Danio rerio: one gene and its partners. Each later gene encodes a partner of the first gene's protein in a complex. Links are inferred from orthologs where the notes say so. Each region holds a gene or a part of one and is shown on either strand. Other genes may lie near its edges.

Region 1 (4,440 bases):
GGCGCACATATGAGCGCTAATGCATTTGCTATTTAAACAGCGTGCTGCAAAACAACACTTGTGCCAAGCTGAAACTAGTAAATAGCATTTGCGCCGCGCCTTGCGCCGCATTGCGCCGGGTGTATGATAGGGCCCCTTATCTTTTCCAGATTAGTATTGTAATGATTTGAGCCTTTTATACAGCTGCCCTGGACGCTGTGAAGTGACTGTGTTCATCTTTGCTGCTGTGATTGATTAATGTTGTTTTGATGCTCTCTGAACGTTCACAAACAAACTAACATCAGACTAACACACACAGATGAAGAGCACACATTAGACACACTTATTGATCTGAGTGTCTGAAGCAGTGTGTGTTTCAGGTAAATCTGTGTGTGTGTGTGTGTGTGTCTGTGGTCTGCTGTTTGAGACACTCTGTCCTCAGATACTGCTGCAGGTGTGAGAAACACCGACAGTGTCAGACACACACACACACACACACACACACATTGTGTCTTCACCTTTTCTCATGCTAAAAGAAACACAGATGTGTCAGACACACACACACACACACACACACTCTCACTCTTTTATCCACACTCTAACACACACACACTTTTTCTCTCACATGCAGTATGTACTTACACACTGTGTCTGCACCATTTCTCATGCTAAAAGAAACAAAGATGTATCACACACACACACACACACACACACACACATGTATCATCCATTCATTCATTCATTCATTTTCTTTTCGGCTTAGTCCCTTTATTAATCCAGGATTGCCACAGTGGAATGAACCGCCAACTTATCCAGCATATGTTTTACACCCTTCCAGCTGCAACCCATCACTGAGAAACGTTCACACACTCTCAATAAAACTCATACACTACGGACAATTTAGCCTACCCAATTCACCCTGTATCAAGGTGGCGCAGTGGGTAGCACGATGGCCTCACAGGAAGAAGGTCGCTGGGTCAGTTGGTGTTTCTGTGTGGAGTTTGCATGTTCTCCCCGTGTTGGTGGGGGTTTCCTCCGGGTGCTCCAGTTTCCCCCACAGTCCAAACACATGCGCTATAGGGGAATTGGGAAGGCTAAATTGCCCATAGTGTATTAGTGTGTGTGAGTGTGTGTATGTGTGTGTGTGTGTGTGTGAGAGAGAGAATGTGTGGGTGTTTCCCAGTGTTGGGTTGCAGCTGGAAGGGCATCCGCTGCGTAAAAAAACTTGCTGGATAAGTTGGCGGTTCATTCCGCTGTGGCGACCCCTGATTAATAAAGAGACTAAGCCGAAAAGAAAATGAATGTTAATACAAATTTAAATAATGATGCTTAAAATAATGCTGACCATCACAGGAATACATGTAAGCAGGTTGTCTGCTTATAAATAAAGTACATTTAAAAACACACAATTTATAAAATGCCAAAATCGTGTTTACTAGTATTGATTTAAACCATTTACGTCTGTTTACACAAGTTGTTCAAAATAAAATCAAAACAACTTCAGTTCAGCCGGTTTGTAGTTCAGCTTGAGCTCTCAGAACTACACTGACCAGAAGCGCTAGCGGCGTCACCGGAAGTGAGTGAGTTTCCAGCTAAACACGCCGCGCAGGGTCACATTGGATACACACACCGATGTTTTGTAATATTAAATAATAAAGATACTACATTATCATTACCTTCAGTGTACATGGATCCGCCTAAAGCAGGTAGAGGAAGACTTTCATTTCCGCCAGACTTGTTTGTTGTGAATGTGTGTGTGCTGAGCTACAGTACAGTGTGTTTACTGCTCAGAAATGACAGGAGTTTCTCTAGCGATATAATCCAGTTTACTGATCCACACATTACTGTAGAGACAGACTGCCATACCAGGAGTTATTCTGAATATAAATCACTATAATGAGATCAAAACATACTTATTTTATAACACTGTCCTGATTTTCAACTAAACCATAGTGTGTCTGATCAGCAGCAGCAGCTTCTCATCAATACATTAATGTGTAAATCACTTTCTGCTAATATTTAATCTAATAATGTGGTTCCTGTAGTGATCTATCACATGCAGTCCAAAATGTAGCCATCAAACCATCATATTTATTTAACAATATATTAGCACAGTGGTTCTCAAACTGTGTACAACGCAGGCTTACTTCCAGTGGTACACGGAGGAATCACTGAGTAATAAAAGAAAAATACAATTTTAATCATATGATGTGTACGATAACTCCAATCTGATCAGAATTGGCTGTTCTCTAAAGCCTACGATAAAAGCGATGTGCTTAAAATGTTTACTTTAGTGCATCAGCTGCTAAAAATCAATCCAATTGACGCAGAACTAAGGAGGTGTGTGGTGTTTGCAGAGCAGATATGCACTAGAGCAGGGCTTCCCAAACTTTTCAGCCCGCGACCCCCAAAATGACAATGCCAGAGACTCGTGACCCCCAATATTCTCTGAGGTGGTGGTTATAAATACAGAAACCTTGTATGCAATGATGCACACACACACACCAATAGACCCAAGTCTATTCTTTGTTTTTTTATGTATGTCAGTGCTGTAAATGGGCTAGAAAGTTTAACCTGGTGTTACAAAATCTGCTGCATCTGACAGTATTGTTGTGTCTTTAGTATAATGTAATTACCCGAGAAGTCGCAATCCAATAGAACTAGTAACTATAAGCTACTATAGTAACTATATAGTTTATAGTAACTATAAACGACTATTTTTTTCTCTTCAGTAAGTTATTGATAAAATACAGTAAGTCTTAAGGTTTAATAAAAATTAATCGATTTTTAAAAATCACCAGGCGACCCCCCCTTCATTGTCCCGCGAGCCCTCGGGGGGTCCCGACCCCCACTTTGAGAACCTCTGCGCTAGAGCAGTGGTCCCCAACCCTCGGGCCACAGACCAGCACTGGTCTATAGATCAATTGGTACCAGGCTGCACTAAAAATGATTAATTATTTCCGTTTTATTCATTATGTGAGTCTGAATAATCATTTATTTTGAAAAATCTTTTATTTGGAAAAATTACAGTATTCTCTTGTTACATCATGGTCACTTGAGGGGCAAAAATTGAACCCACAAGCCAGCAAAATGAGTAAGAATTGCAGCACGATGCGCTTGCATATTCCAGGAGTGCCTAGTTAAAAACAACTTAACTTTTCAGAATGCAGCACGGCGAGTCACGTGACAAAAACCCACTTCATCAGCTTCATATTTCGTATGGAATATCATTTTGATAGACTGATTATCTCAGACAAACACAGAACACCCAAACACTGCAGTGCTTTTTTAATTTTCTCCAAAAATAAAACTTACAGTGCAGCAATGTTATGTCAGCTTTTCCCCACCAATCTACATACAGGTTAATGTTTAGATTTCAAAAAGTTTTACAAATATGTCATATGTGCATGCAACATTCATTCATTCATTTTCTTGTCGGCTTAGTCCCTTTATTAATACGGGGTCGCCACAGCGGAATGAACCGCCAACTTATCCAGCAAGTTTTTACACAGCGGATGCCCTTCCAGCTGCAACCCATCTCTGGGAAACATCCACACACACATTCACACACTCACACTCATACACTACGGATAATTTAGCCTACCCAATTCACCTGTACCGCATGTGTTTGGACTGTGGGGGAAACCGGAGCACCCGGAGGAAACCCACGCGAACGCAGGGAGAACATGCAAACTCCATGCAGAAACGGCAACTGAGCCGAGGCTCGAACCAGCGACCTTCTTGCTGTGAGGCGACAGCACTACCTACTGCGCCACTGCTTTGCCCCTGCATGCAAGATATCTTTCAAAATCTATCAAATATTGTATAAATATGAATATGATTCTCGTTTTGGAACTGTGCAGTGCTGTAGCTGCTTAATTTGGCCAACTATGCTACTCTATTTTTAGTACTGGTCATTATTGTGGTATATGGAGAGACACTTTTTTTCTGAGGTGGTATTTGGTGAAAAAAGTGAACCACTGTATTAGCAGAATTACTGTGAAAAGTTATGGAAAATCCACTTTGTTGTTTAAAATATTCCTGTAAAAGGGTTATGGGAAACCCATCGTCATTCTCTTTCAGATGATGGAAGTGCTCACAGTCTGATGATGTAGTGTTTGGTTCAACAGATGAACAGAAACGTGTTTATTAACAGCATTCAGGCCCAAAGGTGTCTGAGATATGAACAAAGGTAGAATTATATTTGACTAAAGTTTACCCAGAGTGATTTCACTGATCATACAAGAGTTTCTGACACCTGGGCTGAGTTTTTAACCTCTCGGTAAATCAACTCAGAGTTCAAGTTTAAACTCACAGGTTGTCAGTTGTCATGTTGGCGTGGGTTTCCCCCACAGTCTAAACACATGCGCTATAGGGGAATTGGGTAGGCTAAAATTGTCAGTAGTGTATGTGTGTGAATGAGAGTGTATGGGTGTTTCCCGGTGATGGGTTGCAGTTGGA
Region 2 (4,176 bases), on another chromosome or scaffold:
AGAAGAGCATATTAGAGCAGTGATGTCAATACTGTAATACTGTGATATTTATATCCAAGGTTATCATACCATAATCTTATATCGACCCATGCCTAATCAGTGATAGTTTAGGCTGTAATATCATGGCTTTCCTAATGGCGTGTGCTAGATGGGCAGGTCACTGCCAGGGCTCCCGATTTTGGAGGACCGTGTGCACCCAACGGTTCAAACACTGTATCTTGAAGGTGTTGCTGTATATCAGGATGATAATGCACCAATACACACAGCAAGACCGGTAACAGAGTGGTTTGATGAACTTGAAAATGAAGTTGATCATCTCCCATGGCCTGCACAGTCACCAGAACTAAATACTATTAAGCCACTTTGAAGTGTTTTAGAGAATCAGGAAAGGTTTTTTTCCCCCCACCAGCATCATGTAGTGACCTAGCCACAATCCTGTAAAAAAATTGGCTCAAAATCTTTCTGGCCACTCTGCGGGACATCTGAAGGTCATTCCCAAGATAAATTGATGCTGTATGGCTGCAAAAGCAGGATTTGGGGCATATTTGAAGTGAGAATTATTAGCCCTCCTGAATTACTAACCTCTCTTTACCCATTTTTAAAACACATTTCTAAACATAATAATAACTAATTTCTAATAACTAATCTTTTTTTATATTTGCCATGATGGCAGCTACATAATATTTTACTAGATATAGATAGTATTCAACTTAAAGTGCAATTTAAAGGTTTAACTAGATTGGCGATTGACGTGAACACGTTTTGTGTAACAATGGGGAACAATTTGTGTAACAAGGATGAAATTCGGAGAGTTTGGAGACTTGTTGACTTTTAATTTGTAAAATAAAAAATAAAAACAGTAAGTGTGAAGTCAACAACAAATGCCTTCCAGTTCAATAAACTAAATCGCCTTATAATAAGTTAGCCTATATTACAGGATATATTTATTTTCTCAACAATTATTTCAATTCAAATCAACACAAATTATGTTTAGGATGCCATAACTTTAAAATAATAAATGTTGTTGAACATCTGTGAGAAAATTTGACAAATATGATGTTTAGTTTCTTCCACAGGCAGTCATTTGCTTCATCCTTAAATTATATATATTATATTATGTTCTACTTAAAAAAAAGTCATATCCTGGAAGGTTTGATGGTAAATTAATTGATGAGGTATCCTTTTATATTCGTGGACTCTGATTTGAGGCTTTTATTATGAAAAAACTAAATAGCGTGAAGCCAACAAATAATGACTTCTAGTTCAGTGTGTTGGTTAAACGACAAGACATGTGAAAGTCATTAAAATACGTTCTTTAAATTTATGCACGTTATATCTTTTATTTAGAGCAATATATTTGTTGTACTCATTATGTCTTCTTTAGTATTGAGAATTGGAAGGACGACAAATTGTGTGCAGCACATATTAAAACGTGTGCATGTCAGATTACAGCAACCGAGATCATCTTTACTGACACTAGATCCCGTGTTTCAGACAAACCACTGCCCCTGTTCAAAGTGGGCATTTTATCACACTCGCTCGCTTTATACAGGAGTTTATTTGTGTAGTAGGAAAGATGAGCAGAAGGACACCGATCAACTGTCAGTCTCCAGAAGTCCACACACTCCTTCCAGAGGGTCTGCAACACAGAAAGGTAACGTTACGTGTTTAAAACTTATTTTAATGTGTTATAAATGTTAAGTAAGTAACGATTAAAGTACTTACTGGTGTTTATTTACTTTTTACATGTTATATAACCAAAGATTGGTTATATACATATGCACTATACTTAAGTATTACAGAACTTAATAAATGGGTCATTATCAAGTTAAATTGCCTTTGAGACATTAAAAAGGTTTTTGATTTAACCACATAGTTGTTGCATTAATTAGACATTAGCTGTTAGAAATAAATGTTGGTCAAGCTCCAGCACTTTTTCAAAATAAAACCCAATATCTAAAATATTTTGTTAAACTTTCAAACTTAAACAAATTATTTATAAACCTAGCAAAAAAATCCTATGTGATTTCTTAACTATAGAATAATGGACATTTATTTTCATAAAAGTTTAACATGACAGTGGTAAACAAGATTACAGGGTGGATATTGGTATGTATTTTTATTTCAAACAGTCAATGAGCTCCTTTATATGGACTTTAGAAGGATATCCTTTATATAGACTGAGAAAGATATTGCTGGTAAAGTATGTGTGTATAAGAGTTGTTACATAAAACTAACTAATTAACAATAAATAAATACATTAAAAAAATACATTTTATTAAATAAATAAAGTGTCAATAAAAAAAGAAAATGATTTGTGACAGGACATTGTTTGGCTAAAGATAGCATTTCTTCAACACATGTTTTACCTGCAGCTGATAAAGTGCCTCCTAAATATGCTCTTTGTACACAGTTTAAAAGCTTAATTTTTTTTTTTTCAGATTTTTAATTTTTTTTATTATTATTTTATTCATTCATATTTCACTGTGACATGGTGGAAATGTTAAGCTTGACAATATTCAGTTTCAAACACAATATGGGGAAAAATAGGAAACGAAAGTTAGTTTAGATACTTACTGTGTGCACAGCAGATAGGCCTGTCATGGTATCTATTTTTTGTGGTTTGATATATAGCAACAAATGTTATTGCGATAAACAATATTATCATTATTTTAAGACCATTTTGACACTATAATAGCATCGTAATGCAAGTACACCCCTCCAAAGAACACAATATTTTATTCTTAAGAATATTTAATTATAGTCATTTTAACAATTTAATAATTAGGTATTGTAATTTCATAGAAAACGTATATCCTAAACAAATAAATAATAATATTAATACTATATACTAATACTATAATAATTAATAGTAAATACTATAGTGTTTTTTTTAACCATACTAACACTGACAGATTATAAACGTAATCAGCTACAATGTGGCTAGAACTAGAATAGTTTTTCATGTATGGGCGATATATGTTGCATCACCAAAAATGATTGAAAACATGTCTGTGTGTTGTACGATAAGTCAATATATTGATTATTGTGACAGGCCGAACAGCAGATGTTTTAACCTCCTCTGTAGAGGGTTTCTTATTCGAGCATTTACTACATTATGATGGAGTGGACAACAATTTTAAGGACCAATGCAAAATGGTTAATAATGTTATGAAAACAAAATAAACGTTATCAAAATGACATATTTTAACAAATAACTTGTTTAAGACTTAACTTGTTTTTTTTTTTAATCTTTTCAATTTTATCTAATTTACCTACTTTTTAGATTCACTGAAGTTGGCTGTGTAGTGTGTGGGACATGGAAAAATCACATTCATTCAGTAAAAGAATATTGGAAAATTTGACAGACATATTTCAAAACACTTCTAATTCTACCCGCTTGTGTGTAAAGGTTTTACCAATTATATTAAAACATCAGAAGTTCATTATTTCGCATTAAGTTCATATAGGACTGATTCAATCATGTGAGACATCAAAGGCACTTTATAGTGATAATAGCCCAAATACATTGTAAACATACAATATACAAAAGGTGTAACAGGGAGAAATGTGTTAACATTTTATGAAGAATGCTATGTAACTGACAATTTTATATCTGTAATGTACTTCAGCAGTAAAAACAAACAAACAACAAAAAAAACATTATTTTTCTGTTATTGTAACTTTGTTCAATTTTTAAAGGGTACTTCCAAAAATTGAAATTATGTCATGATTTACTCACTTAGACTTGTTCTAAATGAGTTAACCTTTTTTTTCCATAAAAGAAGAAGAAATGAAGAAAAGAAGAATGTTGGAAACATTGACTCATTTTTATAATTAGTTAGTAAATGCAGTTAATGTATTACTAAATGCTCAATCTAAATGGTTTATTTGAATCAGAATTTGTTGACCCAATAACAGATGCAATCAGATTGGTCCAGTTTAAAAATGAATAATTCGGTACGATTTGGTACAATGTTTTGGACTCAAATGTAGTAGTAGTGGTAATTAAAAGTAAACATTTTCTAAAATAAAAAAAAAAACTTTAATAAAGTACTGATAGTGAAGTAAACAGTACAGTTTTGATTAAAAAAAATACAAAAGGACTGCCCATCATTGTTAGTTGAGGATTGTTACAAAACAAAATCACAAATAAATCTAGCCATTGTGATTTTA
Region 3 (4,085 bases), on another chromosome or scaffold:
TATTTCTGTGGAAACTATAATTTAGGGAATAAAAGCAGTCATTTAAAATAACTAATTCTTTATACAATACATACATTGTTCATTTGAACCAATATAATGCACTTTTGCCGAATAAAATCACCAAATATTTTCTTAATTTGGATTTTAATTTGCTACATACACCTTTTTAAACCATTGATTCTAAATTAATGTTGGTTTAAACGTTATCTTCATTTTAACGCAGTTATTTATGCCTTTGTGTTTCTAAATGTAACCTACATTCTCTAAGTAAACAGCAACGCTCAGCTCTAATGCACTGGCACAGTCTGGCAGTGATGGATACCAATAAATAAGTAATAAAGCTTCACATAAAAAGAACGGAACTCAATTTATGACGTTAGAGAATTATAAAAACATAGTTTTCACACAAAATGTGTTAACAGTGCTTGACTCTTCTGTGGAGCACAAAAGGCAGAATGACTCTCAGTGTTCATTCAGTTTCATTGTTTGTTAAAAGAAGTAAATGGTAACGATGTCAAAACAGTTCCACGGATAGAAGGGAACATACAGTTTGATAACAACAAGAAGAATGCGAGTAAATCATTTCATTTTAATTTTGGATATACCGTTACTATTGCTTTAACGCTCATTAGTGGAGTGTTTTAGATCCGTCACTGTCAGGAAATGATAGCCTTTTAGTTTCGTCTCAGATGAAAGTGAATGATAGTGTGCTTAATATACCAACGTACGGTACAGCTAAACAACTCTGTAAACTACGAACCAAACGGCTTAGTATACGACAAAAACAAATGTAAAGCCGGTGTGAGACACAACAGGAGGAAGCTGGAGCTGGAGTACCTTGGGTTTGGTACCCACACCCGCGCGGTCCGGTCTCTGGACACCGACACGAACGCTCCGTCCGGGAAGGCGACAGCGGCAAGACCCCGGACATCCATGTCGTGCGCCGGGAGAGAAGAGCGCAGTCTGTATGAGTTACTGCCGGACATTTTTACAGCTGAGAGACGGCGATCACTACACACACTGACACAGCAACACTACACACATACACAATGCATGACGGGACAACACCGGGCAAAATAAAAGCCGCACTATCAATTATAACACTGACATGATCATATGAAATACTTCTATTTTTATGAGTACAATATCATACTTCTGTAAATATTCATTAACATTATAATAACCCTAATTTTGCGCTTGAAGTATGCATAATATATTTTAGTTAAGAACAGACTTTAAACTTTTTATTTCTAACGTGAACTTCACCCCGGAACAACTTGAGTGTGTTTGCGTCCTCGAGTGAGGTGAAACTGTCAAAATCATGTCCAGTTCTAAGAGGATAACGCTCATATTTGGAGGCTTCGTTGCAGCTGTTGCTGCAGCTTTTTATCCTATATTTTTTCATCCTCTCACACACTCTGAAGACTACAGTAAGTGTTTAATATCACTACTACACATGAAGTCACCGTGACACAGCCTAAACTTAACTTATGTCATAACGTCACATTCGATTACCCTGCATTTTGTAACTTATTAATCGTATTGGAATAATATATTTGGTGACATAGATTGGGATTAACGTTAGGCATGGGAAAATAACTGTTAACGGTTTTCAAGGTATAGCGCGGTTTGCAAAAGTTAAGATTTTAAAATTGTCAACATTTTCTTATATAACTTACCGTTTCTAAGGTATGTGTACGATTTTTTATTTACATTTCTTTTTTATGACAACAGTATCTCCAGCAGAAACGATATCCAACGATGTCATTTTAAATGGTTAAAAAGTTAGTGTTTTTAAATCAATTGAAGACCACATAAGTCAATGATTCATTTGAATTATTTAGCCTCACATGTTAACTGTTCTAAACAATTTTAACTGTTTCTCCAAATAAAATATATTGTGTTTAAAGTGGGGGAAAATGTTTTATTTTTACCCAGATATTTAAAAAAAAATACATTTTAGATCAGTAATCACAATACCATATACAGTATTACCGTAGAACCGTGAAACTGTCATATTTTATTCAAGGTTATCATACTGTCAGAATCTTATCTTATAAATTTATTTTCATCTAATAAAGCTGTTAAAGTCTCAATCAAAATAATTCATAATTGCCATCCAATAAATACCAAAACTAGCTAAATATAATAACAATATTTTCCCTTTATGCATTTTGTACTCAATATAATGAAACACTAAATAATTTATTTTGGGAGTGCACTTCCTGTCAAGTGTTTTGGGTTGACTTTTTCGATTTCATTAAAAAAAATCTTATTTCCAAATTTCTGTATTTCCCCAAAATGTTTTTCTTTGGTTACTTTCTGAATGTAGATCCTTCTCTTTGTAAATTTATTATTAATTTATTGCTTTTTTTGGCTAAATTTTACATTCATAAATGTAAATAAAAAAAAAAACATCCTTACTTTTTATTTTCAGAAAGGACTATTATATTACATGTAAAACTCTTTTAAACTTGTTTATTTTGCTGGAATTTTAGTCATGTAACCCTTTTTGTTTCTTTGTTCATACTGTATCTTTGTATTGTTCTTTCTTGTATGATAAAAAAGAACTTTAAAAATACATTTAAAAAACGTATTATTGGGATAATCAGGTTGAACAGTCGTTATAATCTGATGTAAATTATAGAAATAATATTTCAGTGTTTTAAGGAATGTACACATATTATGATGCTGATTTTATTCTACGTTGAATTACATACAATGCAGAGCTCTCTTGAATGAGACATGTTGTATGTATATTAGGTTAGGTTACTTATACCCAAAGGTAGATTTGGTTTGCAGTCAAGAGTCCTCATTTCATAGCAGTGCCACACTAAAAAACTCACATAGTGACAACAACAAATAGACATAAAACATAAACGTACAAAACGTACACTCTTTAAAAAAAAAAAAAAAAAGAATAAATAAATAATTATTTCAAGAGCCAAAATCACTCTGGACCCCTCACACCCAGCACACTGCCTCTTTGAATTTTTACCTTCTGGTCGACGCTACCGAGCACTGTGCACCAGAACAGCCCAACACAATAACAGATTCTTCCCTCAGGCAATCCATCTCATAATTATGAAAAGAAAAAACATCACTACTTGCTATAGCTATACACTTTTAATCCACATATACACTTATTTAGCAACATACTTTACATGCCAATTTACACATAACAGCTGCACATATAACGTATATAATAATACACATGTACACACACTTGTCAATTTGTATATTTGCATTCACTTTCTACTTCTATTTTTAAAATACATTTTTTTATCTGTTTTTTTGTCCTGTCTTTGTAATTCTGTTGCACTGTAGAAAGCTCTGTCAGGAAAGCACGTGTGAACACACCTGGCAGTAAAGCTTTTTCTGATTCTGATATACAAGTATCGTTTACTTCTACAGCTTGTTACAAGAAACCAACGACTAGATGGAAGGAGCTGAAACTCTGAGTGTAGGGGATTTTTATTATGTGTTAAGTTAACTTAATTGATTTGTGTTGGGAATTGCGTGGATTCCAGCATTTTGCATTTTTTTACAGTGCAGTTTTTCAGTGTATCTGCGGAGTCTTAAAAAGTCTTAAATTTCTAAAACAAAATTGAAGGCCTTAAAAAGTCATATTCACTGGAATATTGTGTTGTAGGTCTTAAATCATTTTAAACTGATCTTAATTTTCCTCTGTCCAATTAAAGCTACACAATCGGGCAAACATCCATCCAATCACCAACAATCCATCTTAATAAAATCAAGGAAAGAGAACTAAAAACCATTACACAGTTCCTCATGATAATAACAGAGTAATATATCCCTTTCCTTTCCCAGGGATGGGTTGCAGCTGGAAGGTCATCCACTGCGTGAAACAGGTGCTGGATAAGTTGGTGGTTGATTTCGCTGTGGAGATCCCAGATAATAAAAAGACTGAGCCGAAAGAAAATGAATGAATATATCCCTTAACATTATCTTCCATTCATACAAAAACTCTTTACAGAAGTAAGGGGGAGTAGACATAATATTTATAAATAGGCATTAAACTTAAAGTTTTTATGAACAGAAACACATTAGGTTGAATAGAAGTT

Evidence for each region.
Region 2: cmc1 (region 1) and timm21 share a complex: the UniProt entries of both Homo sapiens proteins name them as parts of the MITRAC (mitochondrial translation regulation assembly intermediate of cytochrome c oxidase complex) complex. The link is inferred for Danio rerio from reciprocal best matches to the Homo sapiens genes CMC1 and TIMM21.
Region 3: cmc1 (region 1) and smim20 share a complex: the UniProt entries of both Homo sapiens proteins name them as parts of the MITRAC (mitochondrial translation regulation assembly intermediate of cytochrome c oxidase complex) complex. The link is inferred for Danio rerio from reciprocal best matches to the Homo sapiens genes CMC1 and SMIM20.

The regions. Positions count from the first base shown.
Region 1 is NC_133191.1:59,066,854-59,071,293, reverse strand, and holds the start of cmc1 (COX assembly mitochondrial protein homolog), read left to right. Parts: upstream 1-1,535; 5' UTR 1,536-1,666; coding exon 1,667-1,685; intron 1,686-4,440. UniProt on the Homo sapiens protein: Component of the MITRAC (mitochondrial translation regulation assembly intermediate of cytochrome c oxidase complex) complex, that regulates cytochrome c oxidase assembly.
Region 2 is NC_133199.1:17,611,333-17,615,508, forward strand, and holds the start of timm21 (mitochondrial import inner membrane translocase subunit Tim21), read left to right. Parts: upstream 1-1,232; 5' UTR 1,233-1,371; coding exon 1,372-1,654; intron 1,655-4,176. UniProt on the Homo sapiens protein: Participates in the translocation of transit peptide-containing proteins across the mitochondrial inner membrane.
Region 3 is NC_133182.1:65,051,034-65,055,118, forward strand, and holds the start of smim20 (small integral membrane protein 20), read left to right. Parts: upstream 1-1,264; 5' UTR 1,265-1,321; coding exon 1,322-1,430; intron 1,431-4,085.